3 linked regions of the Coturnix japonica genome follow. The protein of the gene in region 3 interacts with the protein of the main gene of each other region in a pairwise test. Links are inferred from orthologs where the notes say so. Each region holds a gene or a part of one and is shown on either strand. Other genes may lie near its edges. The genes, in order: TOM1L2, TOM1L1 and TOLLIP.

Region 1 (4,450 bases), on a different chromosome or scaffold from region 3:
GGGACCTTCACAGGGAGCTCCATCAGGACGTGCTGACCTCAGAATAAAGCAATGCTACAAGGTGACCCTGCAGACTATTGCATCTGGTGGGATGTGGAAAAGCTTCATCCACTCACAAAGCCTTTGAGAAGGTGCTATGTAACCTCAGATAATGTTTTTAGCTTATGCATAAATATTGCTATTAGCTCCCCTTCCTTCAATAGGTAAAAAGCAACATGGCAAGAGCAGAACGGTGTTTAAGATCAGGAATGCCACAACACGTGCCTGCTTCAACCAACAGGCCTCCCAAAACAGCTTGGCAGGGACCTTGCTAGAGGCAAAGGGACAGCTCAGCCTCCACAGGTCAAAGAAAGCATTAGAGGAAAATTAAGTGAGGTTTGTCCTTGGTAGCAGTGGTGGTGTTTCTCACAGGCGGTTTTATCAGCCAACCAGGTTTATCAGCCAGCAGAAATCAGGTGGCTTTCAGAGACATGGAACCTGGCTCCCATCTACACTGGCACTTTAGATGCAAGAGACTCAATCCATCTCCATTACAAATCCTCTGAGCTCATCCTAGCATTACTTTCTCACATTAAGCAAAAGAGTTAACATAAAAAGGCTGCCTGGCTTCAGACATCATCCAGATAAAGAGGAAAAGGGAAAATCCCATGTATTCCCTCCCTCAGCACTCCACAAACCTTCTCTGATATATTTGCTCTTCTAGACCTAGCATTTATGCAACAATGTTGCTTAGCCCTAAGTAAATCTTCATGAGATCCTCTGCTACTTCCTGGTGCACTGATGGACTCACAGGACCCTCTGTGCTTCTTCCTTATAATGGATACTATGTTAAGTGCTAGGTCCTGTTTGAAAACATCATAACAGTATTTTACACGGTATGTTTAAACAGCAATACTAAATTAGTTAATTACCTTCTTTGAAAGTACAAAGCAACGTAAGTGAGAATTATATCCTACGAGCTCATTGAAAAAAAAGAAAGCAGTGGAAACACTGTGCAAATAGCACCGTCTGTGAACAAGGCGTGCTTTTGTCTTGCTGTTGTCTCAGGAAACTGGCACTGATATGAGAAGCAGAAAGAAATAATCTTCCAAAATAAAACCTGCAGCTCTGTCTTCCTCCTCCCCCCCCCGAAAAAAAGGGATGGAAAAACCTTGTTAAAGCGTGACTGGATTTTGCAGTACAGAAGCTGTGCTCTGAGCCCCTCACACAGACCTAACCTGGATCCCTCTGAGCTCTGTGCCAAAAACCTTTATGTTGGCTGTGACTGCTCATTCAAAGAGAGCAAGGGGACATAAGAGCTATGCAAACCTCGGCACTCCAGACTTAGAAAGGCAAGAGGCTGGAAAAGCATATTCTACCATTAAAACCTCTCAACAGTAATTAAGTCCTAAGGAAGCCCCTTTAAACCACTTACTGAGGCTAAAAGGATCTGACAATAAATAGATCAGAAATTATAACCTTCAGTTAACAATGCCTGATGCAGAAGGCTTGTCCAAGCAGCCAGCTGTCTTGGCAGATGTTATCAGATGGCCAAGCACAGCAATGCAAATTCACTTTAAAAATCATGGCTAACTTTCACTTTCGTCACTTTAATCCTCAAACTCTCAGCACTTCTCTGCCTAAGCAGAACAAATGAACACCTCTGGTAGCTAAAGAAAAAACAGCACGATATATGGTCTGCACAGTCTGACAAAGCAAGAGTCCAGCCACCTTTAAAGCATGTGAGACTCACCCACTTAAAGGCCTTGAGCTCTGCCATGGGCTGTCTGCACATGTGGGTGTGGAGCTGCTAGAAAGGAACTTCTGGGTTTTGAGGCCATGAGCAGCTACTCAGTAGTACATTTCCACTTTAATTCCCAAAGACATGAATCCCCTGGTGTTTCATAAGTTAATGCTGAATAGCTATAGCCTGTACATGTTATACTACATATAACCATTAGGTAAGTCATCAGAATTACTGCTGTTTACAAAACAAATCATGGAAACTGGGAGCATGGTTTCACCGCAAGGGACGCCAACACAAGTGCATACAACTGAGCATTGTCTTGGCTCCTGGGACCATATGCAATGGTCCCTATGCTGCAGAAATCCAAGCCAGTTTGCTCTTCTTTCCCACCACGACCTGGGAGAGCTTGTATTCCTTCAGGGTATGTGAGAAGCAAGTGGGAAGCTATGACAGCCCCAGGCAAGTGCCATAGCCCTGAAAGAATGGAACTCAGGCCTTCTCCTGTGGCCCCAGCAACCCAGACCAGAGCCAGAGCTGTCACAGCTAAGCACGAATACACACGTAGGAGAGAAGGGGCACACACAGCAACCCAGCAAGCACTTGGCTGGCCCTGCAGGGGGGGTACATTCACAACAACCTGCCCAGCGCCACCAAAGCATGAGGCCAACCATAATCCAAGTGCTGGGCTGAAAGGTGTGTGTGCATCTCTAACCTGCATCGCACTCCCATCAGATGAGCTCCAGCCCTTGGGGATGAAGGCAGCTGAGGCAGCACAGGGAACGTGCCCCCTGCCATGGCCCATATCTCCATGGCCCCCTGCGGGCCTACAGCCCTTCACGACCCCCGGAGCCCCCACGAAGCCCTACAGCCCCTCGGAGCTTCCATGACACACTGCGGCCCACACCCGAGCCCTTCCAAACCCTCACAGCTCCATCAGCCCCCAGTTCCACACTCCTTCCACAGCCCCAGAGATCCCCCCCATCACAGACCCCTCCCATCTATCCCACAGCCCCATCCCGTGCCCCCCCGGCCTTCAGAGCCCCCCACAGGCCGCCACTGCCCCCTCCGTGCCTCTCTATGCAACCCCACAGCCCCAAGGACCGCACTCCCCGGAGGCCCCCAGCCCCTCCGTTGTCCTCTCTAGCCCTCAATGCCCTGTGTAAGCCACACTGTAATCCACACTGCTGCCTTACCGAGGCTCTGCCCCACCGGGGTGCTGAACGGGTTCCCCAGCAGAAACTCCATCTTGGGATGACAACAAACAGCGGCCCGGCGGCCCTCCCTCCTCCTCCCCACCCCTCTCTGATTAGCAGCCACGAGCACCAACCGCCGCTCGCTTTGCCGGGCAAGGCCCGCCTCCTTGCAACCCATTGGACGGTGCTCGTAAATTCCGTGATACTATAGGTTGAAGAGTGTGTCAATCACTGTCAACCGACGGACCCGCCCCCTCGGTAGTTCCGTCCTTTGCCACGCCCCTCAGTTGATGGACAGGAGAGATTCCGTTAACGCCACACTCCATTGGGCAACAGCCGGAAAACTCTGCAATATGAATGGGCGAGCAGAACGTCAATCATACACAACTCCTCCCGCCCACAAGGCACGCTTGGAGCTCTGATTGGCTGACACGGTTTTCTCGGGCTCTGATTAGCAGCCAGACTTCCCACCTCCCCTCTCAGCCCATTGGCGGCCGAGCGCATCACGTGACATCTATTAGCAACGCGCTTGGGCTTCCTTAGCTACCACACAGAGCCGGGGCTGGAGCGCAGAAGGGGCTGGGGCCGGTAACGGGGCCTGGGGCCGAGCTGTGGGGTATCAGTGTGGATTTATAAATGACAAAGCCAGGAGAGAAAGCTGAGAATTAATCATTTCCCTCAGTGGAGGTATTTGTGTCCATATAGGTTGGGTTAGGCCGCATTACGGTGGGTCAGCATTAAGGGCCTTCAGAAAATCACTATTACTATTTATAAACGTTCCTTCTTCCTCCAGGTTCCTTTTCCTTTTATTACAGAACTAATGTGCAGGCTGTGCTTACAGTCACACCAATGGCTGTACAACCCAGCTCAATGATCTTCACTATCCCTTCCCATACAAGCCATTATAAAAGCAAATTCATCTTTGATATCAGCTCTGAGGTGTTAGATCTTAATATTAACCATGTTCTTAATCCCCTGCGATTAATCCCCTGCGATTAATCCCCTGCACGACTGTGTCGTGCCACTTCAATGAAGGTTGGAAATAGCAGCCAGACAGTGGCTTTATTGTTGTTGCTTTTTCTGTCCATTACAGCTGATATCCTCTAAAAATGAGTCAGCCAGACGACAGCTTAGAGCCAAACGTTATTGACGATGAAATGCTTCAGAAAGCAGTTGAAGAGCAATGGCCGGAGGACATAAGGAGGCTCGCCACATCAGAAGGTTATGACTTTAAAGATGTGACGGAGCTACAGCTTAGTTTTAGAAGTGAGTATCAGAACACACACACATTTATAGGGGGATAAATGAAATAAGCATTAATTGGCAACCTGGCAATTAAACAATAATGATCATCTTAGGCTTTTAGTCATGCCTGGAAGCAGCAGTTTCAGCTGAGCGGTCTGGGTGGTATTGCTGATGGATGGCTTTAAAGCTGCTTAGCTTTATGCTATTATCGTCAGCGCTGTTCTTATTTAACATTTATATTGTGGTGACACCTACAGGCCACAGGCCTATTGGGCCCTTCTGTACA
Region 2 (4,438 bases), on a different chromosome or scaffold from region 3:
AAATATAAGAAAGATCTGAAAATAAACCAAAATAAAAGTGACAAAATAGAGCATAACTGCGGCTTTATATGTACTGTATAAAATGACTGATCTGCTCAGGGTCAATGAAATCTGTAAGACCTACCTCAGCTTGGTACTTGAGCATGTAAGATCCAGCCATCAAAGCAGGATGTAAGCATCGGGCTGCATTACAGCCAGCATCGCTCGGAACACGAGACATTCATGACCTTAGTCAGCAAAGCAGATGAATAGGTGACTTTTCTTCCATGGTTAACATCATGGAAGATACCTTCTGCGATGTGTTCACATATCGCAGGACTAAGTGCTGGGTTGATGTGTTTCTATGGGGAAGACAAAGGGTTTCAGTGCCACGCAGCATGGCAGAGAGGTTGCATAGGTAGACACAGAGGGGCAGTTTGCACAGCCTTGCTGGCTGGGGTCCTTGGCTCTGCTGAGGATCCAAGGAACTTTCCTTTGTTTTCTGTCTCAGCGGAGAGCAAGGCATTGATCTTGCTCAGCTGCAAAGCACTGAGGATATGAGAGTGGGAGGGAACTGAGTTTACTCTACTTTTCACAGCACTTTCTGTCACTCTAATAACTTCATAGATAGGAAATTTTGCTTGGAATAAAGCACAGCCATGTCACAAGTCTGACAATGGAAAACTAAGTGCCCAAAATATCTTTCTCTGGATTTTCCCCTTTTCTTCCTATATTTTCTTTCACCTGCTGGGCTCCATTCAGTATTCAGGTTACATAAACCTCACATGTTCTCTTTTCAAGGGGCAGTGTTCTATTCAAGTTTATTATTTTCTTTGCTATTCCTGCTCTTTTTTTCTCTCTCTGCATTGCCTACTGAAGCAATATCTTTCTAAAGATACAGATATAAGATTAAGATAGAAGATAAGATGAGATAAGTGATACTTCTTCTAAAAGAAAATATTCCTGAAATGTGGCAAATCCTGCAGTGTTAGTTTTAAAAGCAAACATTTCTCAATGCACGCTCATCCACTCATCTTGGATAGTGCACATCCTCTGACATGATGTACTGTGATTTCTCGACATGCTTAGATAATGACTGATCTGACAGCACCCTCCAGGCACAAGATTTTATCTTGACTGGGGGGAGTTGCCATCATGCACCGTGAGTTAGAGAAAATCAGAGAATACCAGGCCCTCTGTACAGACCCAGCTGGCACAGGTCAAATTCAGGCATCATGGATGTCATGAGTGCAAGAACTGATCTCTGTAAGCAGTGAAAGTAATTGCCTGGTGCTGGAAAAAGAGTTCAGTTTGGGGGCTGGGCAGTGTTTTTAGTTTATTTTTGTGGGGTTTTTTTGTTGTTTTTGTTATTTTTATGGGAGTAGAATCAATGGAACTATAGTTCATTTTTTCAGAAAGTGGAAGCTGCAGTAAGCAATGTCCCACTCGATTGGTAGCATTTAGGAAATGTATGACCAAGATGTGTAGGCCATGTGATGTGCATAGGTTGCTAATTAACCAATTTGGACATAGTTCTGAAAGGTGATATGAGGTTTAGAAGCCTAAATAGCTAATCTGTTCCCTCCCTTTCTTTTGTCTTTAAAGTTTAGAGCCCTGTGTAATATACACATGAAACCTGCAGCACCCTTCCTTACCATGAATGCACATCAATACACTGTGATTCTTGTGGACTGTGCAACAAGAGGAGAGTCCTACAGCTGCTCCCTGCTAAGGTTCATCTCTGCTCAGCACCAAAAGGAAAAGAGCAGGTATGTGGATGTTTCTGACTGTATCATTAGGTTGCAAGTGGGAGAAAATGGAAGACAAATACTGGTCATCCCTTAATATTTTGATATAAATTCTTCTTTCAGCAAGTCAAGAAGTTGTGGGTCTGAGTTGGGGTGTGTGCTATACTCTGTATGAGGTTTGCTTCTTGCACAGGCAGTGCAACAGCCAAGCGCAGTTTTTATTTCAGTGCTTCAAATATTATTATTTTTTCCCACACATTCTGTTTCTACTGTGTTTCAACAAATGCAGAGTTACTGATGTTGCTGTGCACCAGGAGGGTCACATTCACCCTGCAATAGAAGGTGCAGAAACTTGGATGGAAACTGAAAATATGTCTGGGTGCTTTTGTATTCGAGAGCCCTGGAGCCCTTCCTTGGGTAGTGGTCGATAGCAGGGACTTCAGGTTTGAGGCACATGGTTACAACAACGGCTGAAAGTGGAATCGTTATTATGATGAGAATTTTCATGCTCAACAGAGATGTGGTGAGGCTCAATATCCTCTTGAATAACAGCTTTTCTTACTGCAAACAGAAAAGAGCAATTATGTTTTCAGGTTCATGCACTAGTTCTGGTCTCTTGGAGCTCAGAACGTTGTTCTTGGCAAAATCTCTCGTAGTCGAGATGGCTGTTCAGCTCCAGATTGCAACCTCAGGGTCTCTTCCAACTTTGCGGTTTTTGATGTTATTTGGAGATTTTTAGTGAAATTTGCACTCCACGCTTGAGAAGAGCTGTTCACAGCATAAAATGCACCTCACCTCTTGGCAAAAGTTCTTCTCAGTGCCCCATGTCCAGGTGTAACTTCTAGGTATCATTTTCCCATTGTATTTAGCATTGTAATCTCTAACAGCTCTCATCCTTACTAGTAAAACAGACACTGAGGCTCAAAGTGGTATGTCAAGGAAACAGAATTCTGTGGCAAAAGCAGAATTAAAGCATCCCTCAAGGATTCATGGGCTGGACTTTAATTTTTCCAGTTGTTAACTGGAATTTAACTATGTGTTAAAAAAAAACACAGCAGCAGGAACCATACAGAACAAGGTGGAAAGGAATAGGGGTTCCTTAGAGGCTGAAACAGTGACTTTCATTAGAAAAGAAAGCAAATTGCCACCAGGTAGACAGGTGAGAAAACTAGAAATACCAGCCCTCTGTCACTGTAGTGGGGAATTTACTCTTCAGAATGTAGGTTCACTTCAGATACGTTTTTAGACAGACGAATACTTGCGTTTTAATTCAGGTGCTGGGAGTTACCTCCCTCCCTTCCAGCTCAGTGCATGGCTGTTAGGTAAGTGATGGTTGGAGTGCAGTCTGTGGAAGCTTGAACATGGAAAGAGCAGATTTGCAGGGCTTGGAGCCACAGGCAGGAAGAAAACTTAATTCTGATTCTTTTATTTTCCCCCTTCAGCGAGTTGGCCAGGTTACCTAACCGTCATTTCAGTCTGTCCTTAACATTGAGGCTGTGAAGATTTGCAACAGATAAAATAATTCTGAAAAGCTCCTATTGTTTAGCTATCAAGGCCAACTCATCTGCAAAGTCTTTGGGAAGATTTTGTTTCACCTGAGTTACAGAACATGTTCACACAATGTTTTTTGTGCCATTAATTATTTAAAGCTTGCTATTTTGCATGAATAGATCAGCTCGCCTCAAAGAACACAGGGCAGATGAGAAGGGACATTCCTGAAACATCCTATAGGATGCTGGAAAAGGGAGAAAAAGGGAAATGAGGTTAAATCCCTGCTGGGGCAGTGGGACACGCCTCCAGCCCTGCAGACCTGACAGCAGAGCTTTGAGGCTGTTCTCAGTGTTTCCAGAGTTCTCACTTTAAGATGATTGTTGCATTTATAGTAGGCACAAGCCTTGGTGCCTTCAGTTTGCATTTGGCGAGATGATTCCTTTGTTCATCAGCCTTCTGAGGCAATGTGAGCATTATGACTCAGCTGAACAGCACTCAGGTGTGTTGGCTGGGGTGAGGATGTGACCATTTTAGTTGCAGGAGGGATGTGGCTGTGGGACAGGGCAGTGGCTGCTTCACACCCATATAACCCCACTGAGCTCACCCTTCAGGATCTGAATCCCAGTTTCATGTTGGCTCTTTGAGGTCCATGTTCAATCTTCTGATATGCTTAGAGAAAAATTCCTCAAATGAAATCCTTAATGACCTTTTGAAAGGTTCCAGTAACCAATATGGAAGAGAAACAGCTTTTAAAGCTTTGGAAAGTTGATTTTTTTTGTTGTTACTTTTGTTTGTGCAGAAGAGATTGGTCGTTTTAAGCCAGCTGTATTTGGCAGCTTCTGTCCAAAGGAGGGGATGCCGAGCTGGGGTAGCACTTGGCAGAGTTCTGTAACACCCTCATTATTGTCTGTGTTCTGTTCTTTCACTAATTTCATCTATTAAATAAATAAATGAGTGATTTTGCCAGATGAATTTTTTTTTGTATGAGAGTATCTTTTTGTAACGTTGCCATCTTTCAGTGGTAATTATCCAGTCCCACAGCTGTTGCCTACAGGCAGGTTCGAAATGATAATTTTATAAGGTGTACAAATCACCATAAACATAAATAAAAACAAGAGTTGAGTGCCGAGTCAATAGAGATCAGTGAAATGAAAAAGACAGGGGTCTGGATGACCAGATTACCATGTTAGCCAAGGATGCTTGTTATCTGAGTTCGTGAT
Region 3 (3,942 bases):
TAAAGGTTAACTGCAAGCCCATTAGTACTGAGAATTAACCAATCATATATGGAATGTGTAGTCACTTGGAATAATTCACAGAATCAACTCTATCTATGTTTGAATTTAATGGCAAGTCCCTCCATGTCCACTTATGTATGTTTTCCTTAACATACAGTGGTGATAAACTGTTTACAAGTTACAGATTTCAGTTTCTCGGAGATTAAGTACATCTGATTAACAGCTCAGCTGAATAATCTGCTCTGCAAACGTTGCTTATGAGAGTAGTACTGTCATAAACTCTAATGTGTTATTCTACTAGATGTTGTTATTGGCAGCAGGGAGTATGTGCCTATGTGTTAACTGTTCCATTTGGGGATGTTGACTTTGACTTAGAACAAACTTGTGTTCTCAGGTAATGTTAGAGGCTACAACTGAGGCAAATGTCTATGACTTGCCCTTCTTTGCTTCCCCTCTTACTGTGCGAGTTTAACTTGACACTGCAACAGCCATGCACTTGTTACACAAATGAGGCTTTTGGATGCTGTTTTGTGATAATTGGTTGAAGTTTCATTACTGCAACAGAGGAGGCGCATCAGTGCTTATTTCTACTGAAATTACTGGAATTATTTTAAATGTAGACAGAAACTGTTTCTTAATAGCATGACTGCTATCTACAGATATAGACTAGTGGGGTTCCACAGGACTCTATTTTTGGGGCAGTTCTCTTTAATGTTTTTATAAGTGATCTTGACACAGGAGTCAAATGCATACTAAGAAAGCTTGTGAATGATATGAAATTAGGGGGAGCTCTTGCATTCCTCAAGGGCAGAGAGCCCTTGCAGAGATGTTGACAGATTAGAGGACTGGACAATCTCCATCCATGTAAAGAAGTAAGAAGAGCAGTGCCAGATTCCCAACTTGGGATGGGGTAACCCTGGGTACGTGTACAAATGAGGGGATGAGAAACTTGGGAGCAGGCCCACAGGAGAAGGATCTGGGGGGTTCTGGTTGACAGCAAGTTGAATGCAAGTCAGCAGTGTGCCCTGCCAGCCAAAAGGGGCTTCTGTGCCTTGGGTGCACCAGACTCGGCACTACCAGCTGGGTAAGGGAAGGGCTGGGCTGCTTTGAGCTATGTGGTCTCACCTGCAGCACTGTATACAGCGCTTGGTGCCGCAGCATTGGGAGGGTGTAAAACTGGTGTATTAGAGAGCACGCAAATGAGAGCAACAGAGATAGTAAAGAGTCTAGAGGGCAGGACTTAGGAGGAGTGACTGAGGTCACTTGATTTGTTCAGCCCAGATAAAAGAAGGCTGAGAGGTGATTTCCTAGCAGTCTGAACTCTGTTACGCTTCGTGTGTGCATGTAGATAGCAGTAAGGTAAAACTGAGATGTTTCTTCTTCTGTTTTTCGTCTAGCGAGCCTTTTCAATGGATGATCGCATTGCTTGGACACACATTACAATTCCTGAATCTCTAAAACAAGGAAATGTGGAGGATGAATGGTATAGCCTGAGTGGAAGGCAGGGTGATGACAAGGAAGGAATGATTAACCTGGTGATGTCATACACGGTAAGTCAAGTTTAAAGTGAGAATGGGAGAGATAACAAGAGGAGATATTCTAGGTTAAACTAGGAGTATTTCCGTTGTATCTCGCTCTTCTGTGTGTGTTAGCGTTTAAAATATTTGTACTTTATTTTGCACATAGCAGCCAAAAATATTATGGTAGTAAATCCTTCTTGGTGAGGTAGCAATTGAATATTTATTTGGCTACTCCTCAGTCAAATAATTTGTTTTAATTTCTAATTTGATTAAAACAACAACAAACAACAAAGTTTCTACTTTGAATTTAGGTCATTTTTATAAGTAAAGGTAGTCACAGCTCTTCTCTGTGGTCTTTTTGGGAAGTTTGAGTGCACTTTCTGGTGACTTGAATTCTGATTTCCATTTTTATTTAGTGCTTGTATTGAACTGCTGACTTTGGCCTATTTAATAGCTTCTGGATATTCTCTAGTCTGTTATCTTTGTCATAAGTACCTGTGGGATGGCATGATAGCTCCTCAGTGCTTCCTACTACGCTTGCGTGTGATCAGAAGTTCTGGGTTGTTGCTGGGTGCACAACTGTGACCAGCTGCTTCTGCTACTTGAATTTCCTATTTGGCCCCACAACTGAACAATTAATTGTTCCTTTACCCCTAGGGTAAAAATTTTTATTAACTTTTAAAATGTGCACCAATGGATGTGCTGCGCACAGAATCTGACCTTCTAATGTCTTACATGATGAAAGAGAACAGAAATTGTGGTACTATAAAGGAATGGGCTTGGACATTTTAAAAAGTACTAATTTACCTAAAAAATGATTTGAACTAATGTCTACTCTTAATAAAATTCAGCTTTGCTTTACATTTTTACTTCAGATAAATAAATACGCCATGTATTCGTTTTCCCAAAATAAAGTGTGGAAATTTAGCCATGTTTTAGAGCAATTTGTTTCTGTAACAGAATATCAGTGGCCAGTTGCATCAAGCTGGTGGGAAAGGATAACTGGTGTGTGCTTATTCTGATTTACACTTAAATTGTCATTTTAAAGAGTAGCATTTCGGTTTACTTGCCAAAAATTCTGCTTAATACAAATCGGATAGGTCTTATTGTGCATGCAGTGCAGATTTTCTGTATTACAGTGTGGTGACTTCTTTCAAACGTTTTAAAACAATTCCAAAAATGCCAATTAATCTCTGTTGTGCATTTTGTCTAGTCTTTGCCAGCTGCCATGATGATGCAGCCCCAGCCAGTGGTTCTGATGCCCACTGTATACCAGCAAGGAGTGGGATATGTGCCTATAGCAGGTATGTTGTCTTTAATTGAAGACTAAAGCTTCCAAGTAAAGGGGTTTTGCAGAGCTGTCTAACAAGTTTCTCTTCCTTTTTGGAAAGTGAAGGGGATTTGTAGGTGATTTCATCCTTGACTGTATTTTCCATGATGCCAGAGGGGAGGACATGAATTAAGTGTGAGCCTTTTTGACTTCTGAGTTTGATAGATATTCAAAAGTTTGGATTCAAATGACTGTAAAGTCACAACGAGTAGCATTAAGTCTACTTTTAATGAATATGAAATCAAGCCTTATGTAAGTCATTAAATAACTAAATATACTGAAACATAGTCTGTCAGATATTGTGTGCTGGGAAGATGGTGGCAACCCAGGTGAGAAAGTGCTCAGACTTCAGAAAGCACATCACATGCATCGTGTAGTCAGAGCTGCAGCTAAAATTGACTATAAAGGGATTATCTTTCCTGTGGACCTTAAAGGTGCTCTGTTGAAAACGCAACACACAAACCACTTAACTCTGTGAATGAATAATATTAGGGAGCTCTGAGATAGATTAACGGAAGTATATCAAGAAAGCTAAAAGAAAGCAGTTGTCAGTTGTTCTGGTCTGTGTGAAGTAAATTTTTGACTTCTATAGATAGATGTGTTAAGTTAGGTTCTGTAGTTTTACTGTCAAAAGTGAGAAACTTCAAGTATATAAATAACCACATGTTTGCTTTTCTTAAAGGACTGGTAAGTAAAGTTTGGGGTTTTTTTTGTTTTATCCTGTATTAGTTTCAGCTCTTAAAAGCTCTACATTAAACAAGAATTCAGCACGATAGTCTTACTGATATATTTTGAGTTTCTTCACATGTATTTGTATGGGTGAGTGATAGAGTATATGGGACGCAGTTGCAGTATTGAGGACTGGCACAATATATTTTTCTTTTAGACTCAATTCCTGATTTAATTTAAATTTCATTCTCTGAAAAAGCAAATTTCCACAATATAAATCTGGATATTTAACTTAAAAAAGTGTGCCTCCTGTAAAACATAGAAGTTTGGTTACTTACTGAACTCCCTGATGAGAATGTATAGAATGCTTCATTCAAAGTGCTTTTATCTCTAGAGCTTCTCAGGATTTAAGTCTTGCTTGCT

Evidence for each region.
Region 1: the proteins of TOLLIP (region 3) and TOM1L2 interact in binary tests that used the Homo sapiens proteins (3 or more experiments, as listed by UniProt). The link is inferred for Coturnix japonica from reciprocal best matches to the Homo sapiens genes TOLLIP and TOM1L2.
Region 2: the proteins of TOLLIP (region 3) and TOM1L1 interact in binary tests that used the Homo sapiens proteins (3 or more experiments, as listed by UniProt). The link is inferred for Coturnix japonica from reciprocal best matches to the Homo sapiens genes TOLLIP and TOM1L1.

What each region holds. Positions count from the first base shown.
Region 1 is NC_029529.1:4,990,429-4,994,878, forward strand, and holds the start of TOM1L2 (TOM1-like protein 2), read right to left. Parts: upstream 3,045-4,450; 5' UTR 2,972-3,044; coding exon 2,920-2,971; intron 1-2,919. Other genes in the region: DRC3 (dynein regulatory complex subunit 3), read left to right, coding at 4,029-4,185. UniProt on the Homo sapiens protein: Acts as a MYO6/Myosin VI adapter protein that targets myosin VI to endocytic structures. May also play a role in recruiting clathrin to endosomes. May regulate growth factor-induced mitogenic signaling.
Region 2 is NC_029533.1:8,286,995-8,291,432, reverse strand, and holds the start of TOM1L1 (TOM1-like protein 1), read left to right. Parts: upstream 1-1,598; 5' UTR 1,599-1,748; intron 1,749-4,438. UniProt on the Homo sapiens protein: Probable adapter protein involved in signaling pathways. Interacts with the SH2 and SH3 domains of various signaling proteins when it is phosphorylated. May promote FYN activation, possibly by disrupting intramolecular SH3-dependent interactions.
Region 3 is NC_029520.1:9,911,864-9,915,805, reverse strand, and holds part of TOLLIP (toll-interacting protein), read left to right. Parts: intron 1-1,397; coding exon 1,398-1,550; intron 1,551-2,733; coding exon 2,734-2,824; intron 2,825-3,942. UniProt on the Homo sapiens protein: Component of the signaling pathway of IL-1 and Toll-like receptors. Inhibits cell activation by microbial products. Recruits IRAK1 to the IL-1 receptor complex. Inhibits IRAK1 phosphorylation and kinase activity.